2 linked regions of the Schizosaccharomyces pombe genome follow. The gene in region 1 interacts genetically with each later gene. Each region holds a gene or a part of one and is shown on either strand. Other genes may lie near its edges. The genes, in order: ptr2 and isp4.

The links.
Region 2: mutations in ptr2 (region 1) and isp4 impair growth when combined (synthetic growth defect), as found in Schizosaccharomyces pombe (one study listed by BioGRID).

The regions. Positions count from the first base shown.
Region 1 is NC_003423.3:3,405,020-3,410,281, forward strand, and holds ptr2 (PTR family peptide transporter), read right to left. Parts: upstream 3,341-5,262; 5' UTR 2,674-3,340; coding exon 817-2,673; 3' UTR 556-816; downstream 1-555. Other genes in the region: bbl1 (phosphatidate cytidylyltransferase), read left to right, coding at 1-131. UniProt on the Schizosaccharomyces pombe protein: Uptake of small peptides.
Region 2 is NC_003423.3:1,549,793-1,554,872, reverse strand, and holds isp4 (plasma membrane OPT oligopeptide transmembrane transporter family Isp4), read left to right. Parts: upstream 1-2,081; coding exon 2,082-4,439; 3' UTR 4,440-4,580; downstream 4,581-5,080.

The sequences.
Region 1 (5,262 bases):
ATACAGCAGTTTATAGCCTCACGACCACTCAGCAAGTGCAACTTGTTGAAGATTTACAAAACTATCTCATCAGTCATGGCAAAACTAGTGTTCAAGCTATTTGTTCCAAACTTCTTCAAAACTCAAAATAGCTTACACTTTGTTATCCTCGTATTTGTTTACTAGCCAGTCTTTTATATTATTAAATGCGTTGTCATGTATAGTTTGACTTCCGTTTGTTAGTCATTCGTTATTGCTTGGAAGTTTTGATATCCCATGTCTAATTTTTAGTCAACTCCAAACTAGATCTAGTCGTTCGTTTGCTTTATATAATTTTCAGTTTTTCACCTTAAAAATTTTGTTTGACATTTTCCGAATTAGTTTTCATCAAAAACTTTTGTCATCAGGTTGGTTAAGTGAGCTAGCTTAATTCGCAAACGCTTAGAAAAGTTGATTATTGGACTAATCTCACGTCGGTTCTACTAAAAAACAGTTTCTTGTCTCAACACATACAGTTTTGTTTACCGCTAAAGAATTTCTTATTTTCAACATATTTGATACTTTCTTTAATATTTTAAATTATGCACAGCAATATATATTTTCATTAAATCACACTGTAGTAAATTCTGGTATATAGACCCACTGTAAAACTCTATTTTCTGAGAGTGGATAAGTACTACTGCATTTAAATAAGGAGCATCAGTAGAACAACGGCATCATAACAAAAAAAAAGATGGAAACAAAACATGCAAACCCCAATTTTTTGGGAAATTTTGTAAAAAAAAAAAGAAAAGAAAAATTGGCATCCCGCAAATACGAATTAAGTTAAATTAAGTATTATGTGCTTTTCATGATTTCCTCTTCAGCAGTTGCTTTTTCCAAATTGTATTGGGACTCATCTGCCATGCTATAACTATCATGAACTTCCTTTTCAACGTCCTTCTTCGTTAACGCATCATTACGCTTGAACTCAAGTTGATTTTGTTCATCTTCCATAGCATCATAGTGGTGGAAGCAAACCCAAAACATAATACCAGCAATAAAGGCAGTGACGGCAATACCAGTGTACATCCAAGTAAGCTTAGGATTGACAGCAGTAGAAGAAATGCAAATAGATAGAATGGCACCGAATGCATTGGTGAACAAGAACAAAGCAGTAATAATGGATTTCATTGAAGGAGGGGCCTTGGTAAATGCAAATTCTAAACCAGTAATACTGGCAAAAATTTCAGAGAAAGCAATCAAAACGTAAGCAGGGATTTGGATCCAAACACTGATGTCATTGGAAACACATGTATCAGTAAAATTTGCATAGCAAGGGCCTCTTTGATAAATCTTTGCTTGTAAAACAGCAGCGTAAATCATGGAAGCAGTAGCAAACATAAACCCTAAAGTAATACGAAGGATGGGTTTGAAAGGGATGTTATACTTACGCAATAATGGATAGATGATATTGTCACAAATGGGAATGAAAATAATCAAGGCGATTGAATCGAAGGCTTGGAAAAGATCGTTAGAGACATTACCCGTTTGCATTTGTCCAGCTTGAGAAATTAAGTTGTTGGTCATTTGACCATAGCATACCCAATAGATAGGGTAAAAGAGAAAAGTTTTGCAGGCGCGTAAGGCACGTTTCAATTCGTCGATAAACAAGTCATCCCACTGATCCTTGAGCGTAACGCGTCCAACAGTAGTAGTGCAAGATGGTTTAGTTTTTTCGAGATTAAATTTGTTTTGAGCAGCAAGGAAGAACACTTGACCAACACGAACAAAGATGGAACCGGAGGGAGGAGTGTGCTTGTAAAAGCGCTTACTAACAGCCAAAATAATTAAGGGGATAACAAAGACGCACAAGGGAAGCAAGTATGCGTAAACAAAACCTTTAGTACTTTCCAAACTAGTGGTGGCTAATACGGAGAGAGAACCGACGTTAATTGACCAGTAGAAAATCATATAGGCACGAGAGGTGGTGACGACGGGGTCAACAATGACCTTGCTACCATTTTTCTTGGTCTTTACATAAGGAGGAATTTTTGGAAGCTGTTCAGCCATCAAGGGGGAAACATTGGATTTGATACCACCGGTTCCAAGACCAATGATGATCAAAGAGACGACAAACCCACCCATACTTTTTCCGGCATCAATGACAGAAGGAATAGCAGTACATGTAAGAATCAAGATACCAATAAAGTAAATGACAGCAGAGCAAACAATGGTATTGTACCTACCAAGGAATTGATCAGCAATAAGTGCAGCGCCAACCGGGGTGACATAACACCAAAATGTGAAGAAATTAGAAAGACCGTCAGCACCGCTTTCGCCTAAATTAAGGGCACCTGGAGTAGCATCCTTAGGACCGAATTGCATATAATTTTGAAAGGGAACAGTGAGACCATAGTAAGCGAAACGTTCGCAAAGCTCGACAATAATGATAATAAAGGCTTTCCAAGGAATAGTACCGCAAACACGAGGAAGGGTGGCTAATTCTTCTTCGGTAGGAGAAGGGTATAAGTCACCATTGACGAGGACGCCGGTGGACATGGATTTTTGGAGTTCATCGGTGGAGGATTGTTCGTCAGCGGTGTTGATGGTGGCAGAACCATCAGCCTTTTTCTCCTTGCTTAAGTAGGATTGATCTTCTGAAATGATGAAATCGGAGTCCGATTTCGTAATTTGTTCTTCAATGCTACTCATTGTAAACACAGGTAAATTGAATGTAGGAAATCGATCGTATGAAAATCAAAAATAATAATAAAAAAGAGAATGAACAGAAGTTTCAAGAACAATTTTTGGGTATAAAATAATTACAATGAAACGAGAAAACAAAAGAGGCGAATATTAAAAAAAAAAAAAGAGGAAGAGAAAAATAACGTAAACAAGCGAAAGATTAAAAAACAATTGTAGTACAAAAGATAAAAAAAAGAATAGATCAAAAATAATAATAATAATAATTAGTCAAACTAATTACACAAAATTGACAAGTGAATTCACAAAAAAGTTAAAATAAACACTTTTATATGTGTATCGAAGGCCGACTAACTCAACTAAGAGTAAGAAATATGAAAGTGAGTGAGAGTGAGAAAGGGTATTTAAAACAAGATTAAATATACACAACAACAAATAAGTATTTATGACAATAATAATAAAAAAAGAAAAATTTTTAGAATGAAAAAATTTTTCCTTAATGTATTAAATAAATACTTGGAAATTAAAAGTGTATGTATGTGAAAGTGTGGAGAAAGTCACAACTCCAAACAAAAGAGGTCAAACGATTAATTATACGAACGATGAGGAGTTTCCACTCAAGGTTTTTGAATTTCTCTTACTTCTAAAACACAGACTAGACGGCACGACGAAGGATGTCTTTTGAGGGGATAATTTTCAAGTATAAATACTGCTGAAAATGAAATTTGTCCACACTGATTTAGCAGTCACCACGTGTTCATGCACGCCTTTATCAATGACGGTGAGCAAAGCACGATAGGCGATAGACAAATCGTAAATGTAGGAAACGTGGTATGAAAAAGTTTATTATCTTCCCTACAGATAAATCAAAAAAGAGGGAGGACCGGTCTAGACTGCACATTTTTAATAATTAAGGTCAATGCGTGAAAGGTGGGTTTGATGGTTGATTGGATAAATCAAATGTTATTTCGGACAAAAACGTTAGTGCGGAATATCTATTTGATTAAAAATGCACGAGGAGTAACCATATCGCACAACGTGTGACCTGTTGGAAAAAGGGGTGAAAATTGGTAAATCCGCTGGAAATAGATAAGCTTGGATTTCTTCGTGTGATGCCGTTTTTTTCATCTACTCCACTATCATGCGGAAGGATTGCGCACTTGTTCAGTTGCGTGTTTTTGCTTAACGATAGAAAAAACTCGTGTACCTCCATTTAGGACTTTTGTGCCACCACATCGCATGGTTGAAGTGGAAAGTCGTACTTGACCGAAAAAGTGGGGATGAAATTGGGTACCAAGTGGGGTGCATGGAATTAAATGGTCAAGAGCACAACGTGCAGAGCATATGGAAAAAACGAGTAGCACGTTATAGTGCCAAAAATAGAAGTTTCACTACAGGAGTGAGAATGAGAGTGAGGAGAGGTATAGAAAGAATGTGAGACAATATAGTTAGTATATGTGAAAGTGAGAGTAAAAGGTATAAGTGTTACTATATGAGTATGGATGAGGATGAGGGAAAAGGTAGAAAAGAGATGACTGTCTATGTATTGTCATACATATTGTTATTTACAAACACATCCTCTACGTTTCTTATTCTCTCACGACGACATACAGGTGAACGAAGTTTTTCAATAATTTTAGAGGTTTGAGGGTTGAGTTGTATTCATTGCTTACTTGTAGTTTGCTCATTAATAATAATTACATATTTGTTAGATTCTTAATACTTTGCATATTTATTAAATTTATGTAATCGTTTGATGAGTGTTACATTGTTGTTTTTATTTATTTATTTAACCGTTGAATTCATTCCTTCTTCTCGACATCGGCCTTTACACCACGTTCGCGTGTCTCTTCTCTCTTGTTTCCTTCCCCGGGTATTCCGCGATTAGCGCTGGCGATTCACCAAGGTAAAACTATGTATGCGAATGGTGAGTGGTCTGCTGTAGCACGGTGTGTGCACGAGGAAACAAGGTCTTCTCTTTAAGAACCTCGAACCCGGTAAACATCGTGGGTGGCAGAGATAGTAAAAGCGACTAGTTCGCCTACCCCCACATGAATTGTCGCAAAGATGATGAGGGACGACAACAAGTAGGTAAGGTAAAGTAAAGTAAGAAAGGAAGAATAGTGATAGCATTAATAGTAGTGGGTATAACTGTCACGGAAATGAACATATCACACTCCAAAACGGACTTGTTGGTGTATGAGCAATTTTTCGCACCCATTTTCCCTCATTTTGCCAAATGAAACCATAATGCTGCAAGATTGCTGAAAGTATCGGGAAAGCCTAGTAAGAAATGGTCCAACTCGTTATGCAGCGATACCCTACCCTCCGTCAAGCAAACGAGATGGTTGTGTAAGGCGAGGCACAAGACTTCAAAAAGTATGCAAATTAGCAACAGATAGTATACCCTAAATTCCAAACGATATCTTCTATCACAGAATCAGATTTCTTATAGTAAGTTCATGATAACTTTGAAGAAACTTGAGTTTGATAGCATTAGTAAATAAATCCCCAATAACGAAGGAGTATGCAATGTCACATCGATATCTATGCTTCTAGCATTGCTGATTCTGACTTGACTTTTCTATCTCGTCGTCG
Region 2 (5,080 bases), 1.9 Mb from region 1:
AGAGAGAAAACAAAGTCATCGAAACGTAGGAATAATCATTAGGAAGAAACAAAATCAAACATTCGCTAACCGATGAAAAGTTAACTCGTGAAGCTGAAAGACAAAGACGTTTAAATTTTATTGCATGAACATTTAAATCGTACTGCATGAACATTTGTATTCTACTACACATTATATTTTATTCTACTGCATTCACTGTGTTTTACAATTGTCTCTTTACTCCATGCAATTCTAGCAAATTTTATTTTCATTCAACTTTACTATTTTTGTCTGTCTTTGTCTTTGTTCGTTCTCATTCTCATTCCCATTCCAACTCCCATTCCCATTCTCCCCGACCTTCTCCTTGCCCTTTACCCATTTTTACGTTTATCGCATCTCATTTCGTTTCATCTCATTTTGTTTTGTCTTCCCCAACGTCGGCTGTCAACCTCCCGTCTCCATACTAAACCTGATGCACGCCTATCTTTCCTAGTCAAGAAAGAACAACAACAAAAAAGAAAAAAAAAAAAAAGGAAAAAAAAATTTCCTTTTTTATTACGATAGTCGTGCTGGCAACAGAAAGCCCTTTGCACATACATCACAAACATTCGTTTGTTAGTGTTTGCACGTGTGTAATAGCGTTTTTCCTTATCGAAGAAATTTGTTGAAGGAATTGACGAGAGTGCTACTTCAAGAGAGTTGGCCGATGGAATTTTTCGCATGTGCCACAGTTTCGCTTGACATTGGTGGTACAACGATAAGAATCCCGCGTTACCGTTTAGCAATCGAGACAGGCAAACCCAGACAGCGAAAAAGAGTGAGAAAATGGGAAAGAGAGAGAGAGAGAGAGAGGAAGAGAAAAGGGATGAATTGAAATATAAAAAAATATATATAAATAAAAACAACAATACATACACTTACACTTACACTTACATACAAACACACACACATCAATTGAATCAAAATTATGAAAATATAAACAAATCCTCTTTTTTTTCCTTTTCTTTTTTTTTTCTTTTCTTTTCTTCAGCTTTACATCCCTTTGAATCCTCATCATCTGTGCTTTTTTCAATTCCGTTTTGCTTTGTCAATTCTGCTTTGCTTTGCTTATCAGTTCTACTTTGTCGATTGTGCTTTCTTCCTCTCTCTCCATCGTCAAGCTTTGCCGCCCCTGACCCCTTCATGACAACAGTACGACTTTTATCAAGATAGAATAGAACTGACTGGTCATCTCCTGCATCCCATTTATGTAATAAGGACTTTATCTCTGATTCATATTTCACACACAATGAGCGAAAGGGTTGGTTATCATGGAAGGAAGAAAGAGCAATGAATTGATTACGAGTGGAAAAAATCAAATGCCGCACCTTTTTTCCCTTTTATATATAGAGGTGAAAATCCCTCCATGTGTCAACTCAAAATAAAAGTTGAACAAATTAACATCGATTATTGTTTGCACGTTTTTCGGCAGCTAAATCCCCCCGCCCGCTCCAAGATACTAAAAGTTTGGAAACCATTGTAACATAAAAAGAAAAGGAAAGTTAAAGAAAAAACAAAAACTAAATTGTTATTGTTGCTGTACTAGACTATACTCTACTCTACTTTACTATACTATACTATACTATTCTATTCTAGACTATACTATTTTTGTACAGTCTATAAAAACCATCTTGTATACATTTTTATCTCTACATACGTGGACGTTGATTCCATAAAAACATAAAGGTGTTTTTCTTCCTTCACGAATTTTATTGATGAAGAAGTATTAAACACTTTGCTCTTTTTCCAAATCCCATCCATTGCTCGTTTCTTCAATCACCGTGAAGTTTCGTAGTGATTTTTTTGTGATTTCTTTATCGTATCGCACTGTTCGTTTCGTTTCGTTTCATAAATACATCATTTTCGTTTCGTCTCTCGTCAATTCTATTTGGAAAATCTTGTTTCCTCTCTTTCGAAAACTAAGCAAAAACTTTTTCTAGTATTTCTCTCTCTCAACCATTTTTGGTTTGTTTCTTTTTATTTTTTTGGTGAATCAAGTTTGACTTTTTTTTTTTCTCTCTCTCTCTCTCTCTCTCTCTTGATTCTCCTCCCTTCTTCCCATAATGATCGGTTCCATCAATGAGTCTCCCATCGAGGAGCATATGAATGACTCCCCCTCTACAAAGGAAAAGGCCGACTCCGTCGACATCTCTGATTACATCGTTAGCCATTCCGATGACAGTTTATCCAAAGACATCAAGAAAGACACAAAGTCCTTTCTCGATGTCGAACATGGTGAAATTAGTACGGTTGACGAGTTTGAGGAAGACTCTCCTTATCCAGAGGTTCGTGCCGCCGTCCCTCCTACCGATGATCCAAGTATGCCATGCAACACCATTCGCATGTGGACCATTGGTCTCATCTATTCCACCGTTGGTGCCGCCGTCAACATGTTCTTTTCCCTTCGAAACCCAACCGTCACTTTGAGTGTTTTGATTTCCGAGCTTCTCGCATACCCAGCATTACAGATTTGGGACTTGATTTTCCCCGATCGCGAATTTCGCATTGGACGTTTAAAGTTTAATTTTAAGCCTGGTCCCTTTAACGTTAAAGAACATGCTCTCATCGTCGTTATGTCGAGTGTATCGTTTGGTAATGCCTACTCCACCGATATCATCCTCGCCCAACGTGTACACTACAAACAGCGCTTCGGCTTTGGCTACGAAATCTGTTTGACTTTGGCCACTCAACTTATCGGATACGGATTGGCTGGTTTATCCAGAAGACTTTTGGTCCGTCCTGCTAGTATGTTGTGGCCTGTGAATCTCGTTCAATGCACCTTGATCAAGACTTTACATCGCAAAGACTTACGAAACGCCGTTGCCAATGGCTGGAGAATTTCCCCCTTCCGTTTCTTTTTGTACGTTTTTATTGCTTCATTCATTTGGAATTGGTTCCCTTCCTACATTTTCCAAGCCCTTTCCCTATTTGCTTGGGTCACTTGGATTCGTCCTAATAGTCCAACTGTAAATCAAATCTTTGGTGAATCCACCGGAATCTCCATCCTTCCCATGACTTTTGATTGGAATCAAATTTCCGCATACATTCTTTCCCCCCTCATGGCTCCTGCCGATGCTTTGATGAACATTCTTTTGGGCGTCATTCTATTCTTTTGGATCGTCACTCCAGCCCTTAACTTTACCAACACGTGGTATGGTGATTACCTACCGATCAGTAGTTCTGGTATTATCGATCACTTTGGTAATAGCTATAACGTTACTCGCATCCTCACCAAGGATGCTACGTTTGATTTGGATGCCTATCAAAACTATTCTCCCATTTTCATGTCCACCACCTACGCTTTGGCATTTGGCCTTTCCTTCGCTTCCATCACTTCTGTCATTTTCCACGTGATCCTATACCATGGAAAAGAGATCTACGACAGGTTACGCGATCCACCCGCACCTGATATCCATGAAAAACTCATGAAAGCCTATGATGAAGTTCCCTTCTATTGGTATTTGAGTGTTTTCTTGGCCTTTTTCGGCATGATGATGGGTACTATTTATGGTTGGAAAACGGAAACCCCTTGGTGGGTTATCATTGTCGGTGTCATTTTCTCTGCTGTATGGTTCATTCCAATTGGCATCGTTCAAGCTATAACCAACATCCAGCTAGGCTTGAATGTATTCACCGAGTTTATCGTTGGTTATATGTATCCTGGTCGTCCTTTGGCCATGATGATTTTCAAGACTGTCGGTTATATTACAATGACTCAGGGATTGGCTTTCGCTGCCGATCTGAAGTTTGGTCATTACATGAAGCTTCCTCCCAGAATCATGTTTTACACCCAAATGATTGCCACCATATGGTCTTGCTTTGTTCAGATCGGCGTATTGGATTGGGCTTTGGGTAATATTGATAATGTTTGCCAGGCCGATCAACCTGATAATTACACTTGTCCTAATGCAACTGTCTTTTTTAATTCTTCCGTTATTTGGGGTGTAATTGGTCCCAAGAGAATGTTTTCTGGAAAAAACACCTATACGGGATTGCAGTACTTCTGGCTCGCTGGCGTGCTGGGTACAATTTTGTTCTGGGCTCTATGGAAGAAATGGCCTCAAAAATGGTGGGGTCAATTGAATGGCCCGCTAATTTTTGGAGGTACTGGTTATATTCCCCCAGCTACTCCTGTAAACTATCTGGCTTGGTCTGGAATTGGTCTGTTCTTCAATTATTATCTGAAGAAGATATTCGCAGACTGGTGGCAGAAATACAATTTCACGCTTTCTGCTGCTCTTGATACTGGTACGCAGTTGTCGGTCATTATACTTTTCTTTTGCTTACAGTTGCCTATGGTTAATTTCCCAGATTGGTGGGGTAATGATGGTGCCTTTAATACGCTGGATGCTACAGGTGCCGCTGTTAGGAAACTCGTCAATGAGTCAGCAGGTGAATTCTTTGGTCCCGCCGAATGGTAAAATCAATGCTGTATTTTTTTCTTTGTTTTTTTTTTCCATCTTTTAACAAATGATAAAAATTATAAGCATTGATTTGTATACTAAAGCTTCGTGAATTAATTATGTCTACACTTTCTTTTAGTGTTTGAATATTCAACATCTATGCAATATATATTTTTGGATGATTGATTGTTGTCTATTTTTTTTTACGTTGCATGATTAGATTTGTGTTTAATCAATCGTTCAACAAGTTTATCTCATGTTTATTAAGCTTTCTAATTTGTTATTTTTTATTAATTGTTGTTAGAATTGAATAGTTCGTTCTAAATTGAAACAAACGTTTGCATTTTTATATACGTTTTGTAATGTGAACATCAGTAATTTCATTTTCACTTTTTGTATACATCCTCAATGTAGCGACAAACACTCACTAAGTAAAGTAAATATTGTGAAGGTGCAAATTTTAACTTGATTTCATCTTATGAATGCATGTTCGTATGATAATAGATATGTAAATGACCGATGACAAACCTATTCATTAACTTGATTTATATACTGTTCACGATATTAATACTCCCACAATACACTAAGACTTGTTGATTTCTTACATTAAAGGAAAACAGTAATCAGTTGTTATTAAAAACACTGCTGATTCTTACTAA